Linked DNA regions of Yarrowia lipolytica. The protein of the gene in region 2 interacts with the protein of the main gene of each other region in a pairwise test. Links are inferred from orthologs where the notes say so. Each region holds a gene or a part of one and is shown on either strand. Other genes may lie near its edges.

Region 1 (4,407 bases), on a different chromosome or scaffold from region 2:
CTGTCCGACGGTAATGGGCTTCTCCTTCTTCTTTCGGCCAAACAGACCTCGCTTCTTCTTCTCCTTGGTCACGGGAGGAGGGTCTCGGATGTAGTTGAATTCTGCGCTCTCGCCGTTGCCAGCAAAAGAAATGACGTTTCCACCCTCGGGGCCATTGCTTGAGCCTTCCTGGGGGGCGTAGGGGTTTGTGTCAAATTGGGGCACGGTGAAGCCCTGTCGGGGCACAAAGCCCAGAGATCCCGTCTCCATCTCCTCTCGCACTCTTTCGTCTCCGGTCGTCAGGTACTCAAACGTTCGGATTGTGTCAAGAGGTCGCTCGTTTCGAGGACGGGTAGGGTTGGACCGGTCGGGGTCACTGATGGGAGCTCCAAAAGTATCTCGGAGCTGCATGTCTGGCGACAGACTCTGGTGGACGCCTTGATGGTTGTACGACTGCTCGAACGGCTGGGCGTCGTGAATCGCAGACAGAATGGGGTCACTGACATCCTGCGCTTTGCTCTGACGTCTGTTGTTGGGCGAGGGAGGAGCATTGGGGTCCTGGTTCTGCTCCTGCTCGGCATCTTCTCCTCGGTCGTACTTGTAGTAGGGAGCGGGCGCGGACGAGTTGGCCTCGGCCTTGGATGCTCGTCGGAACGGAAGAGAAACCATGGTCGTGTTTGTGGTTAGTGTGAGTAACGTGTGGTGGTGGTGTTAAGTTGTGTTTTGGGGGTGGTGAAGCAATACTATTTAGTGGGTGCAATGGTAGAGCTAAAATAAGCTTCTAGCTTTCCTGGAATGTGGGTTTGGGTTCTCACATGCTCATCACATATAAATAAATACTATTGCTATATCTCCATCATTCATACTCGTCATAATTCAAATGCTTTCCGCGCATTGTTTGCCACCAATATTTTTTTGGCTTTTCGAGATTCTCAAGCCCATCCTCCGTTATTCATCATTTCGTACCGGTCCCGCACTACACTTAGGCAGTGGCAGTGGCGGCAGCAGGAGTCTCTGCAGCCTCGGCACCAAGAGTGGGGTTCTTGGTCTTTCGCTTGCTGTTGTAATCGCTGATGGCAGACTTGATGGCGTCCTCAGCCAGCATGGAGCAATGCAGTTTGACGGGGGGAAGAGACAGCTCCTTGGCAATGACGGTGTTCTTGATCTTGCCAGCCTCAGCCAGAGACTTGCCTCGAACAAGCTCAGTCACGTAGGAAGAGGAGGCAATGGCACTGCCACAGCCAAAGGTCTTGAACTTGACGTCCTGGATGACTCCGTTGTCGTCCACTCGAATCTGCAGCTTCATGACATCGCCACAGGCGGGGGCTCCAACCAGACCAGTTCCGACGTCCTCGTCATTCTTGTTCATGGATCCCACGTTTCGGGGGTTGTTGTAGTGGTCCAGCACCTTCTCGTGGTAGCCTCGTCGAGAGATGGCAAGAGGGGTCATGGGAGACATGACGGCGGTGGTGGTGGGTCGGGCTCGAGCGAGCAGACCGGCAGATCGGGTAATTCTGTTGAACATCATTTTCGCTTGTGTGTGTTTGTGCGTGAGTTTTTAGTGTGGGCTCGTCTTAAATGTCGGGTTCCACTGAGATTTTCGTCTGGCGTTCTAGGAGGAAGTGCTTGAGACTATATACCTATCTGATTGGGCGCATCACATGAATTGGGACCCAAATCCAAATCTGATAAGCGCATAAGCTCCGGCCGGGTAACCCCCTCAAACAAAGAACCACATAAACCTTATTCAGTCTGGTTTTGCGACTTCGGACTCATATTTAGAGTTTAAGTCGGAACGGCAAGCGAGAAATCTCCCTCCCCAAAGTTGGGCTCCATCCAAACCCCCCTATGAGACGGTCGATTGGCGCTGCCCAAAGTGCCACAGAGCAACAACCGCTCTCAATCTGCCTCCATTCCGCTTCCCAAACCCTCTCCCCCCCACCACCCTGCAATGTCCCCAAACATGCACCTGCAGCATGCACCACATAATTGCACAGCGAGACGAGGGATGCGTCCGCTCAGATTCCGGAAAGCCGAAATACGGTAAAAGCGATGGTTTTGCGGCTCAAAAAACACACAGGTCGCCCCTCCAAACTCGGAACTGCCGAAGTAACGCCTCGTCACACGTCCCATTAGCCCCTATGTCGCGTATTCCATCCCTGAACCAGCTCCCGAAAATCCAAACTTTGTCGGCTCCAAAAAAAAACGAAACGTCAATTTGCAGCAGACAAGTCCGAAGGCCATGGAAACCATTACAAATCACCCAAAACAACAAAAATCATTACTGCACGTGACCAGTTTTATGACGGAATCGGACCCTCCTCACCGCAGGCTAGCCATTGGTATCCAAAAATACACCGATGGACGCTAAACATCCCGCACAAAATGCTCACTGGTCAAAAGCCTGTTTCGTCGAAAATGTCAAAAAATGCCTATTAGCCCTTCGCCCCCAAAAGTGGAAATGCAAGGCAACCAAAAATGTCAAAAATAATCCAGGAAACATGTACACCATGCCAGATTGCAAGGAGTCTTGGGGGAGAATGACCGGGGATGGGGGGGCATCACGTGACTTCCGGGGTGCAAACTCCAACTATTGACCGCAATTACCCGCTCTACGGACACTTATGGACTTGTCACGCTCGTGTTTCATTGGCCAATAGAAGGCTAGTATTTCTAAGAACAGCGATAAAGCCAGGTCTGTTTCAGTTGGGAGTTTGGAACACTGCATCTGCAGAGCCGATAAAAGCGTTTTACAAATTTGCCACCTGAAAATCCAGGGAAATGGGTCAAAATCGCGCGGAAAAAGGAGACAGGGGGTATTTGGGGGCCATTCAGAACCGATTTTCTCCTTGAAAACCCACAATTGGCTTCTTTAACACCTCCTTAGGTGCACTTTTCCGTGCACTTCCACAACCTTATTTGAGACTGTGAACTCAGTGCTCAGATAACCTAAAAGCTTCGTATATTATTAATATGTGTGGGGTTGCTCGGTAGGGTAAACATTGGCCAGTCAGATCGGGCCCTCACCCGCAACTACAAGTACAACTGTTTTTTTTGCAGTCACATGACCAGAATTGCTTTGCTATGTCTCAAGTACGAGTACTGAACTCGAACTTGCTCTCAACATAAGCTTCTGACTAAGGGTGGGGGGGTGTCCGAACCCTAACCGCGGTTTGTTGACCTATCTTCGGTTGCTAATTAATTTTGTGAGCAATATGGATCCCTCAGAAGCTGTATTGAACTCAGAATCTCATCGAAATCAAGGCTTGTATGAAAGTATATCTCGAGAGAGAGGGAAGAAGTGCGTGTTTCAAACTCTGCTACAATCACTGGTTGGATGTCTCTGTATGCTGGACCATGGTTTTGTCACAGGTAACGCACCAACTGAACGGGCAGATCACAAGACGTCTGTTGAGGTGTCTCGGAGAACATTGTGTGCGGTTTGACTATTGCGGAAGGAAAGCAGCAGTAGTACTACGAGTTCGAGGACTAGTTGTACAAGCCTATCCTGTATCGATAGGCGAGCAATGGTACGTGGGACACTTCACACGATACCCCTCTCGGAGTCAGCCAGTCACTCAATTTACGATACAAGTAGACGATCTAAGATCAGGTGTTCAGATGTAGCGCTACCTTGGAATCGTGCACCAAGTTCCAGTTGGGGTCTGATCGAAGTCATAATGTCAATCTACAAACTCCACAGGACAGCGAACTACTGTATGTACTCTATGTACTGTACTCTGTACTTGTACTTGTACATGACTGAGAACTCCAAATAGTCCGAGTAAGAGTACCATGACACGACTTCAAAGCACGAGCTACAAGAAGACAAGATGTTGTCATACTCGTCAAAACTTGATCGAAGAACAAAAATACCCGCAATAATGATGGTCTCATTTGGTATGACGAACTTTGACCTGCTCTCCGTCCCTCACATGAATCCATTTAACACCATACCCCACACGGATGCGAGGTTTATTCTGCTTTTGAGATGAGGTGAGAGTTGGTCCGAAAATCCAACGTCCGCCGCGAAAATCCAACATCTGCGGATCCAGTCCAACCGCACTGCGTCACGTGACCGCCATTCTCCCGTTCCTCTCCAGCCGCTCTGCACGGAGCTTGTACATTGCCCGACTTTCCGATCCCTTCAGCTTCTGCCTCGGCTAACTTAGAGTTCGAACCACCTCAACGGCTGGGCCGAATTGTGGACGTTTTCAACTCGGGCACCAGAAAGTGGAGAGCAGTGAGAATTTGACACAGTTTTCTTGCGACAGTCTCAATTATATTTTATTTATTTCTTTTTAATACCGCTCTATATAAGCACGCAAGACATCCAGCGCAACAACCCCACATCCTCCCCCCGCAAAAGTCTATTTTCAACGGCTACTCGTAATGCATCTAATCTAGCTGAAAACCCTCAGCTCCTTC
Region 2 (6,471 bases):
GATGAGGGAAGATGATCCTATTCAATATCTCGTGCAGAGAACCTTTAACAGACGTCCAAATTCGTATCCCCTCCACCTGCTAGTGGGCTATGTCAATGTCACACCCTCCCCCTTGGGCTCACGTCTCATCACGTCTGCCAAAATTATAGCCGTGGGCTCAGCAGATGTCAACAAAGCCGTCGTAGGCAACATTGACGTCTGATTTAGCTGGTAATATTTGACCTCGAGCTGTATTTGGACAGAGCTGTAAGAAGGAGGGGCCTAGAAAGAATGCAGTGTTTTCTGGAGATCCCAGATCCTTGTCTGTGGCACTCAGTCCGTAGAACAACTGTCATAGTGGACTCTGACAGCTCAGGATCAAACTTGACATTCTGACATGGGCAGACACATTGGGCCTTCTAACCAACGCATGTTACGCATAAAATGGTTGACGTATAAAACACGTTCACGATTGCAGAAAACCACACAGTATCTATAATTACATGTACTATCCTAGAACGCCCTCCCATAGCTTTTTGCTTTTCACACCCTACCACCCCCTCGCTGAAACCTACCCAACCCGATCGAGGTACAGGAGGTCGGTGAACAATCAGTCCGGCGACTGTTAGACTCGGTGATTGAAGTCCACGCTAAAGCATGCAACAACTACAAGCTAAGAGCTACTACCCCAATCCAATACCACGCTCAATGTAACTGCAAAAATCTCCGAAAATTCCGAACTCATGTTCCCCTGCAACCAACTCCTACCACCTTTAATTTTATTTACGAGGTGGTATTTTGGGGGGTTCCAGTGATGACGATCTCGCTACACCGGCTAGGGCAGCTCCTTCCATTTTTGTTTCCCTAGAGATGATCTAAACCAAAAGAATGTGGGTTATATTATGTCACTGCTAGTCTCTTCACATACAAAGAAGACGAGCAACTGTCACTGAGTCAATGGCATGTGAAGTACAATACAAGACTGGGACCAACATGACGTCAGATGGCCAAATACCATTGCCCAGTACGAGTAAGTATCTACTTGTAGTGAAGACATGCACAAGGTACGCTACGGTTGTATACTGTACTATACTGTGTTGTACGGCGATAAGACCACCACTTCGCTCAAAGTGCTTTAAGTGCAGTTATATCCGCTTGAATAGTGCCAGTCTAAAGGATGTGTACTGTACCTACCGTAGTAGCCCTGTCACTGCACTTGTTTCCCAGAAGACCCTACGGAGTGCTACTTGTAGTCGCTAATTTGGTTTCTGCCCTCAACGATAATTATTATTTCGCCTAACAGCTGTTTTGGGATACCTGTTAGCTCGTGTGTGGGCTGAAAATGCTACGGTGGTTAACTATGGCATGCGTGTGAATGCAACTCGTCCTACATGTTCACTCGCGTCCTGTTGCACTACACTGCCCAGGTTGCTACCAGTTGTTTTGTGTCCATCACTGGTTCATGATAGTTTGTTTTGCGCATCCGTTCCGCTCTGCCATTGTCCCATCATTTCAATCTCATGTATTCTATTCTAATCGTGATTCGTTAAACATACTTGTTTCGTCGGGCGTTTATATGGTCAACCATAAAATCGACAAACTCCTCCTCAACATCTGAAGAGTACTGGGCAGTCTTGAGACCAGACAGCAGAGTCTTGATACCAATGGAAGGCACGGTAGATCCAGTCTTGGCCTCGATGGACTGTACAACCCGGTGTCGAGCCTCGGGAGAGTCCAAGAACTGCATAGCGTCCAGTACCTTGTTGAGCTCCTTGAGAGACTGTAGGTAAGGTACGCCAATCTCGGAGTCAAACGCGGAAATCAGATCCATCTGCTCAAGAACGTGTCGCTCATGAGTAGTAACCAGAATTAGCAATCGGCAGCCCTTGGGAGGAGTCTTTCGACACAGAGTCTTGACGGCCTGCAGCAGAGAGTTTGAGAACCGGGGTCCAATCTGGACCCACTCGAGAATGATCTCAATAGAGTCAATCACAATGACGGACAGAGGAGACTTGTAAGCATCCAGGAAACAGTTCTGAATGGCAGTGATCTTAGATGCCTCGGACATACCAACATAGCCTTCGGGAGAGATGAGTCGCACGAAGGGGAAGTTCGACTGCATGGCAATGGAAGCTGCGAGAGCAGTCTTACCAGAGCCAGCAGGGCCGTGAAGCAGCAGAGAAGCCAGAGCACGGTCGCCAGAAGACTGTCGAACTCGCTCAATAAATAGCTCTCCCTTCTTGAGAATGTCATCAATGTTGGGAGAGTACTTGATGATACCACCAGAGACGGCAGCATCGAGATCCTCTTCGGAGACACCAAACGCGGGACGCACTTCCTGGAGGGCATGCACAAAGTCGTCCCGCATTAGCATGAGCTCTCCGCCCTTCTCCTGTCGCACGCCTCCTCCACCTTGGTCCAACTTGAGGTTTCGAGTGAATGCATAAGAAGCAGCAGAGTTAAGCAGACCCTTAATTTCGGCACCAGAGTAGTTCTTAGTCTCTCCAGCAAGCTCGTTAAGATCCACATCTCTGCCCAACTTTCCTGCAGCAGTCATAGGCGCGGTGTGAATCTTGAGAATTTGCAGACGGCCAGCCTCATCAGGAAGGGGAATCTCAATCTGGACCTCGAATCGACCAGGTCGCATCAGAGCAGAATCAATCAGATCCTTTCGGTTGGTCATACCGATAACCAGAATGTTATTGAGCTGCTCCACACCGTCCATCTTAGCGAGCAGCTGGTTGACGACGTTGTCTCCAACACCGGTACCTCCACCGGTGGAGCCTCGCTGTTTGAAGACAGCATCCAACTCATCGAAAATGATGATGTGAAGACCGGAGTCATCGCCCTTCTCTCGGTACTCCGCCTCGGCGTCCTTGAACAAGTTTCGAATGTTCTCTTCGGAAGCACCAACGTACTTGTTTAGGATTTCGGGACCGTTGACAATCTTGGGTTCTCGAGCGTTGAGCATCTTACCAATTTGTCGGGCGATTAGAGTCTTACCTGTACCGGGAGGTCCGAACAACAAGATACCCTTCACGTGGTTGATACCAAGGGCCTCGACATCGGCAGGAGAGTAGATTCGAGAAGCGAAGGCTCGTCGGAAGATGTTACCAAACTGGGCATCAAGACCACCAATACCGAGATCCTGGAATTTGAAGTCGGGCTGAATGATAGCGTTCTGTCGGGGTTTGTTCTTGGCGCTCTTGAGGTTCATGGCCGATCCCTTGGCCTTGTTGAAACCGATATCGGTGTGTCGAACGAGAATACCTCGGACGTTTCGGGCAGCCACTCCGCCAGCGTCTCCCAGATTGACCACCGAGGTAGAGAGCACTCTGATCTGGAAATTGAGGCCCTCGAAGTCCATAGCCAGGGTCTGTCCAGGGGTGAAGATCTGGTTAGCGTACTGGTGCAGGAAGTGGTGAGCGAGCTTTTCGGGCTCAAAGGATCGGGATCCAGCTCCGCTGGCCGCACTGGCAGACAGGAAGTCGATTTCCAGCTCCAGGTTGCCCAGATACACCTGCTGTGTCTTGTGGAAGGGGTCGTAAGGTGCCACATGGACAGTCATGTTTGTGCTGAGAGCTGCCCATCGTCGCTGCACTGCTCCGGCAAGGATCTGGCCGGGAGCAGCATGTGGCGACTGTCGCACGGTGAAGACGTGCTGGTTGTTGATAATGACGTAGTCTCCGTCAGCAAAGGTTCCAGGGGGCACTTCGAGGAGGTTGGCCAGGGCAAACGCCTTGTCCTTGCCCACTCCCAGAATCATATCGCCACCGTGACCGGAAGGAGGTTGTCTGTGCTGCTGAGGAGGAGGGGTCTGGTGATGAGGAGGCATGGGCTGTCCCTGAGTAGGTGCCCGTCTAGGAAGACCAGGGTTGTTCATTGTTCGGGGGGAATTGGATCCGGAGTGAGTAGGAGAGTGTTGTTCAGGAACCCGGTATGGATTCTGATTGTCCTTTTTGCCAAAACCGAACATGAGGGGAATTGGGTTGCGACAAGAGAGTGTGAGATGTACGTGGTCGTATCACGTGGATGCAGGACGATGCGGTCTTAGTGATGTTGGGAGAGTGAAGAATGGGAGTTGGGACAAGACAAATAGTGCAAGTCTAGCGTTATAAGTAACAGCAGATCAGAGAACGTCTAAGAACAATTGGATTTGCATTAATGCCTGGCTTCGACTAAGTGGATTACAGTATTGCTCGCCGGAGCCGTGGCTATAGGTACTGTATGTGGCTTTTACTTATTTATTGCAACACAGGAGAGTCACACCGTGGGCCCCGAGTACGAAAGTTGGTTACCACCTTACCAGTCTAACTACTTGTAGCTGTTATAAGTACTATAACAAGTATGGCGTCCCAGTTCGAGTTTCACGAACGCCGGATTAATAACAAAACACCATAAGATAGACAGGCGCTCCGACACCACCAGCCAATATGGAAAGAGCTGAGTGATTATTTACAGAGTGGTGGGCTACTTTGGAGGCAACCTCCAACTCTGATGCACTTTCAGCCGTTTACATACTTGTATAGAAGAAGCGCAGTTCCCATAACTACAGCCTCTCGACCAGAGTCTGCTGACATTGTTTGACCAAAACTAAAAACACATTGAATTACAATTCAAGGCTTCCACACATAGTCGAATAACTGTATACTGTAGGAAATATGGTGTTTGAGATGGAGGAGAAAGATCTTTTCAACGTGCTCAATCTGCCCTCCGATATTCTTAGATCAACCCCTTTAAATATCCTCATTTCCTGCTACTTGTAGCGACGTCATGGGTTCGCTTAACGGCCGCTACTTCTGAGTCTCCAGCCTCTCTATCTCCATAATAACGTAACGCCATTCCATTAACGCGGAACCTTACTCAGAGGTGCTAAAGGGTCTATATATACTGCAATATGGGGATATTGATAGTCGATTGGGATTACTAACATTGCTCTACAGTACACTTTTATTCAACTTTTCCGTATTCAATTCCGACTACTCTCGTCATCATTCTAACCGAAAACAGGAAACACATCGTTCTGGTCCAAACCCTCCAACCCACAGTACTGCTCGTACTTTAATCAACAAATATCTCCCAAGGAGCCTGAACTTAGACATCTGTATGCGCCAACTATTCACGTAACGTGATATCAGCTGAGGTCCCGAACCATGGCCAAACGACCTCGATCTGCATCGCACCACGTGCCTGTGGCCTACCATCCCGGGTCTCTGGTGTCTCTCAACCGCACACAACGAAAACTCACCGAATACAGCGAAATCGCATCTTGGGGATGGATCCTACTCATCACAACATGGTCTCTGATCTTCTTCGCAGTCTTCACGATGTTTGATCTAGATATCTACTTGTTTGGATCGAAGACAGACCGCAAAAATATGCACAAGGCTCCTGATGATGACGACGACTTCCCCATCAGAATGTACTATCCAACGTCCTTCTTCCTGTCCCTCGTCATGGCTTGGGTCTGGTGTATCGTCAGTTGGATGGGTCTCAAATTCTTCAAACACGCCAAAGTTGATCCTACCAGCAGGTGAACGAGGTTATTTCAAGCTGCAATTACCACCTTCTACACACATCTACACACTTCACCGACTACACCTTGCACCGACTACACATTTCATACTAACACTGTACAGCACATAGACTAATATCATTTATAGAGCATGTCTGCATTGTTTATATAGGTGCTGGGTAGTTGTTTAAACAGTGCTCCGAGTCACATTCTCATTTAATGTAATGGTATATCATTCATCCATGGTACGTACTATCTGTTGCAAGGCATCAATACATACATCTTCAATCCCAGTCTCCTAAAGCATAGCACCTCGTCGGCGAGCAGCTCGAGGGACCTTCTTGCCGTTGGGAATCTTCTTCTTTTGCGCCTGTTCTCGCTGCGCCTTCTCCTCCTTCTCTCGCTGCTCTCGCATCTCGTTGGCGTCAGGATAGTCCACGATCCAGTCTCCAACTCGCAGCTGGTTGGCGACGAAACTACTCGTCAATAGACCCCACTCGGAAATGTCAGGAAAGTGAAGATTCTTGGCGTTGTCGTCAATCTTGTGCCAGACAGGGGGGAAATGGCTGGGGATCAAATGCAGAACAGGCACTCCTCGGTGCAGAAAGGGGAGGTGGTCATCACCAATAACAGCTCCTCGAAAGAATGCGGGCTTTCCCTCGGTGAAGATGGTCTCCTTCTCATCCATACGTGCACTTAGACCGATATCCCGGATTCGCTGCTCCAGAGAAGCAAACACCTCGTACTGCCAGTGAGTGTTTCTGAAGAATGAAGGGATGTATGTATCCTTGTGTCCGATCAGATCCAGAAGCACCAGGTACTCCATCTCAGCCAGCCAGGTCTGCCGGGCCGAGTTCACCTCGTTGTAAGTCTGGTCCATCAGCTGGGCAAGATGTCGAGATCCATAGGTGGAGTCTGTGTCTGACCAGCTGTGGAATGCCTCCTCTCCGTCGAAGAACAGAAACTGTATACCAGTG
Region 3 (4,929 bases), on a different chromosome or scaffold from region 2:
ACAACAACAACAGCAGCAGCAGCAACAGCAGCAGCAGCAGCAGCAGGAGAGTCAGAGCCAGCAGCAGGGTAAGCCCGCGCAGGGTCACACACAGCAGCAGGCTCAGACACACCAGGGCCAGCAGCAGCAGACCCACGCACAACCCCACGCACAGCCCCATACTCAGCATACGGGGGCCCAGCAGATACAGCAGCACCACGTGCATCAACTTCCGCATCAACCTCATTCCTTGTAAACAATGTATTTATGATTGACTAGACTTTCTAGAGCGAGCTGCTATGACAGCGAGGCTCAGACAGTGCCGGTGTATTGTATCCCAGCACTTGGGCCCTCGTTACATCCCTTTGACTCAGAAGTAGCTACTTCTTTCTGTACAATTACATACTTATATAAGCAAGAAAAGCATTATAACATCATTAGTCATACATTCTATTTGACTACGACTAACCCTAGCTACGTGTTGGTTCGACTACTTCGTGTTCAGTGACTTGACGTTCCGGTGATAACGTAGCTGTCACGTAGGAGCTCCTTTTAGAGAGATGGTAGCTCTCTCGCTGAAAGCGCAAGGATGAGTTATTTAGATGGACATATCTGTCTATCATGGAAATATGTCTGTCTGATTTCAATCAGATGCCACGGTTCACGGGCCTTGTCTAGTGTAGATAGATAATATATTTTTACATGCTGTGGCGTTGTACCGTACGTACGGGCCACTCCCAGCTCCCCTTAGGGTCACCACCTGTTCCAGGTGACCTATTATGCGATTTGTTGGTCTTCGATGATGCAGTAAGCTCGCGGTTCATGAACCGGGTTGCTGAGTGGTATTCAACTGCTCTATGGGTCAGCTTTGACACCTGTAGTCGTGGTCACTAGTCGCAGCACGATGTTCGTGGTAGGACTGTGAGTTCCGCTCACAAGTCGCAGCTGCACTGCTCGTTGTTCACTCGTAACTATCACTCAAGTTGATCAACAGCTGCGCGAGACATCTCTTGGTTGCGGCATCGTCTCTCAGAGCCTGGCTGAAGGTAGCATCTCTCAGCGGCTCGGGCAGACTCTGTCTTAGTGCCTCTCTGGCTCTGGCGTTGTCACTCAGTCTGAGATAACATCTGACCACGTGTTTCAACAGTCGGGAGGCCGGTTGTGAAATCAGCTGCTGGACCATGTTGGCGAGCACCTGCGACACCGCGGTGAACCGCTCGAACGTCTGGCACACGTAGTTGAGGCCCATGTCGTCCATGAGGATTTTTTGGACGATGAAAATCGCCACTGTTTTCGACAGCTCGGTGCCACTCTCCATGATTCGAAGGCACAGGGGAATGATTTCGGTGGACAGCAAGAACGAAATGACCTCGGGCGAGTCGTTCTTGACGAGCGCGCCAATCACGCCCAGCGATGTCAGCCGCAGGTACTCAAACGACCGCGACTTGACGGTGGTGTTGAGAAAGGGATACAGAAAGAGCGGAATGTGGGCCACAAGGAAGGGGGTTCGGGTGTCGGCGTGTGAGGCGACGCATTGAAGAAGGGCCAGGGCATTGCATACCCGGTTGCTGGCGGCAGTGGACAGATTGGGAGGCGTCAGCAGGGAGTACACGTTCATAATCTCCTGCAGCAGAGTGCTCATGACTCCAAACGAGTGCCATAGGATGAGGGCGAGATCCTCGTACTGCTCTCGTTTCTTTCCGAGCTCGAGTAGAGCCTGCTCGCGACCCTCGCCGTGCATCAGCTCGACGATCCACGAATATAGCTTGTCGTCTTCTGCCGTCAGCTTCAACGGCATGACGTTGGGGTCGTTGGAGTTGGCCGGTGCCATGCCGCTGGGTGCCATCTGGGGCATATTGGGCGGCGGCTGGTTCATCTGGCCACCCATATATTGCTGCTGGGGAGGTTGCTGGTACATGGCGGACTGTGGTGGAGGTGTGATCTGGACAGTTTTCTGGGTTATGGATTTGATGTGGTGAGTGGTGAGTCGAAGGTTGGTGGAGGGTTTGTGGACGTGGGTTCGACTCCAGATGGGGACGGTGGCCGAATATGTCAATATAGCGTTTTCAGTGATCGAGCTGAGTCGGGGATATATATTTCAACAATTGGTATGTGGACGATAATTTACCAGCTTCCTATCGCGTCATTATTCGAAGTCATCATAGCCTACTAGCATCACGCTATTACTTGGTCGCATTAGTTGAGTATAGTTGACTAACTGAGAGACATGTCATAACCAGTGTCAAGGATGCTACAGGTGCGGGATTTCCGGTACTTGTGTGTTTTTGGAGGGGGTCCTGTGCTCTCCTTGGTCATTTGTGGTCGATTGATCCTGTTTGTATATTCCTGTGTCAATACAGCCGCCGCTGTCATCCTCCATCCTGAGTATATAGACATCCTACTTAGCCGTTCTAAACAATAGTTGTAGCCACCAGGGTGCATACGACCTTATTCAAAAAAGAGAAAAAAAAAATTAGAAAAAAAAGGAAAAAAAAAAAAAGGTCCTGAAATTCGACTCCTGCATGTGATAAGCCCAAAAAGCAATTCAGACGACAAGGGAGGATACTGCCTGATATACACAACCGCAACCAACTCGACATTTACCCCACGATATATCGAACAAGGGTCGAGCAGTGCACCATCTTCCCTATGAGTCCGTTGCTATCTGCAGGTATATACTTGCTACTTTTCTTTAGACTCCCGCGGGCTTAAAAAAAGAAAAAAAAGAAAAAATGAATAAATAAAAGTATAAAATAAAAAACAAAATAAATTAATTACTTGTACGTGAAGGCGGAGTCAGTGTCTACTAGGTGCAGTATTTTTGCCACCTACACGTGACTAGACACGCAAAAATAAGAACATAACCTCTCCCCTCAAATCCACGTCTTCTTTGGACTCAGTCCCCTATTACTGCGACTCGTGCAAATCTGATAACATGCATCTCAACCATTTACCGCACTCGGAGGTTTAATTGATCAGTTTGAATGGGCTGGACATACAACGAGTCGTGGAGTCGAACGAGGAGGCGGAGAAAGACGACAACAAAACCACAGACACAGGGAAATCTCCAGGACCACCATGATATACTCAAAATCCCCGTAGCCCCCCCACACCATCGGCAAATCAACAATCAAGTTTTCCTCCGCATCTGGAAGTCACAACTGTATTTTTCAGTGAGATTTTTCTTGGGTCGAGTTGGTGGCTTATGGAGACATCTGGCAGGGCTCGAATTACAATGAGATAGAAGCCAAAATCGCCAATATATAGGCCTACAAGTTGTTCCTCCATATCTACAGACCCCAATTCACCATTTATCAACATGTAATAACACCCACGCGACTCCCCTGTCAAGGTTCAGAGTACCAAGCAAATGTTTTTGGACGTCTGTAAATCGGCAAGTAGTGGATGGAATGAAATGGTGGAAAATGGAAACCGGAGAAGAAACATACAGCTTTAAATCAACTTTTCCTTATCGGGGTCATCTTCTCAAGAAGTCCTTGTTGATTGTACCCTACCAGACTCATTTCCGACCCGTGAACTCTATCACGAAACACTATAACGCGCTACAGTAATACCTTACCGAGTAGCTACTGTAAACCACTTGAACACCTGGACCGGCTACCACAAATGTCTTCTCTACAGCCGTTTTCGGTGGACAACACCTGGAGTCACGTGGTTTCAAAGCGCACGGGCGACAAGCGCGAGTACGGCGGCGACAACTTGTCATCTGAGTCGTCAAATTTCCTGCCAACCGATCAGACAGACAAACAACCCTCGAGTCCAGGAGGCAGTCTATGGTCCGACAGAGAGGGCTGGAGCTCGCAGTTCGACCTGCCGTCGAGTCCGGTCCGAAAAAAGCGGTTTCTGGGCGGCATTCAGTTCACTGAAAGAAGCAAGAACAAGGAGGAGGAAGGCGGAGACGAGGAGGGCGAAGGGGAGTCAGAAAGCCATATCGTGAGTCTCCAGAGCAATGGAACGGTCACGGAAGATAAACCAGAGGCCACCGTGGCCAAGCTGGAGAGACAGAGTGCGGCCGAAAGCTCTTCTACTCCCGTTCGAACAGCTTCACGTCCGTCTCTACTTGCTCCCACGACTCCTTACAGAAACTACACCCGGAGCCTTAACTCGTTCAACTCGTTCAACTCGTACAACTCTCTTGGTTCGTTTGGCGAAACCGGGGCAGGAATAGCTGCTGAAGTTGCCAGTCCTGAAAAACGTCATAAACCCGCGCCTGTGGACACCACTCTTCCTCCTGCTCAGTACCTTCTTCAGTGTGCTGACAAGGAGGCCGAAAACATTGATCTCATGTTTCGCAACCTTGACAAACTCCCCAAGGAGTTTAGCGAGCTCAAAAATGTGGTTAAGACCAACAACAGCCCCTGTACGGCATCTCTGGCCATGTCCTACAAGGTCATGTTGTCTCAGAACAGACTGACAGATTTGCCACCTCAATTGTTTGACGGGATTAATATTGTGAATCTGTCCGTCTTCAACAACTGCCTGGAGTCGGTTCCGCCTCGAATCAGAGACCTCACCAACCTCGACACGCTCAACGTGAGTGGAAACGTCAACCTCAAGTACTTGCCGTCCGACATTCAGAAGCTCAAGAAGCTCAAAAATCTCAAGGCGTCCAATGTCGGCTTTCCCCCTCTTCCCAAAGGTGCCCCAAGTCCCGCAGGCAAAAAGAGACACATGCTGCATCGCGAAATCACCGTCGTCAACGAAGAAAAGGTGTTTCCTACGCTGATTGAACAGATTGTCATGTCGGTTTTCAAAGCCAAGGATGGCCAACTCACAGACAAGCAAATTGCACATCTCAACGTTCATCAGATGGGCAGACAGTACTTTGAAGACGCTCAGCTGTCGTTTCAGGTAGGAACGTCCTGTGGAGTGTGTGGAGAGCATATCCTCTATGAGGACAGAGTGTATGGATACGCTACGGAATGGTGG

The links.
Region 1: the proteins of YALI1_E34525g (region 2) and YALI1_B06839g interact in a two-hybrid assay, tested with the Schizosaccharomyces pombe proteins (2 studies listed by BioGRID). The link is inferred for Yarrowia lipolytica from reciprocal best matches to the Schizosaccharomyces pombe genes sec18 and isu1.
Region 3: the proteins of YALI1_E34525g (region 2) and YALI1_F04643g interact in a two-hybrid assay, tested with the Schizosaccharomyces pombe proteins (2 studies listed by BioGRID). The link is inferred for Yarrowia lipolytica from reciprocal best matches to the Schizosaccharomyces pombe genes sec18 and rcd1.

The regions. Positions count from the first base shown.
Region 1 is NC_090771.1:681,033-685,439, reverse strand, and holds YALI1_B06839g (uncharacterized protein), read right to left. Parts: upstream 1,508-4,407; coding exon 962-1,507; downstream 1-961. Other genes in the region: YALI1_B06847g (uncharacterized protein), read right to left, coding at 1-648. UniProt on the Schizosaccharomyces pombe protein: Scaffold protein for the de novo synthesis of iron-sulfur (Fe-S) clusters within mitochondria, which is required for maturation of both mitochondrial and cytoplasmic [2Fe-2S] and [4Fe-4S] proteins.
Region 2 is NC_090774.1:3,450,003-3,456,473, reverse strand, and holds YALI1_E34525g (uncharacterized protein), read right to left. Parts: upstream 3,956-6,471; coding exon 1,526-3,955; downstream 1-1,525. Other genes in the region: YALI1_E34513g (uncharacterized protein), read left to right, coding at 5,133-5,516; YALI1_E34494g (uncharacterized protein), read right to left, coding at 5,793-6,471. UniProt on the Schizosaccharomyces pombe protein: Required for vesicle-mediated transport. Catalyzes the fusion of transport vesicles within the Golgi cisternae. Is also required for transport from the endoplasmic reticulum to the Golgi stack.
Region 3 is NC_090775.1:461,322-466,250, reverse strand, and holds YALI1_F04643g (uncharacterized protein), read right to left. Parts: upstream 1,898-4,929; coding exon 941-1,897; downstream 1-940. Other genes in the region: YALI1_F04690g (uncharacterized protein), read left to right, coding at 1-235; YALI1_F04655g (uncharacterized protein), read left to right, coding at 609-614, 667-873; YALI1_F04626g (uncharacterized protein), read left to right, coding at 3,607-4,929. UniProt on the Schizosaccharomyces pombe protein: A differentiation-controlling factor that is essential for the onset of sexual development. Induces ste11 when sexual development is invoked through nitrogen starvation.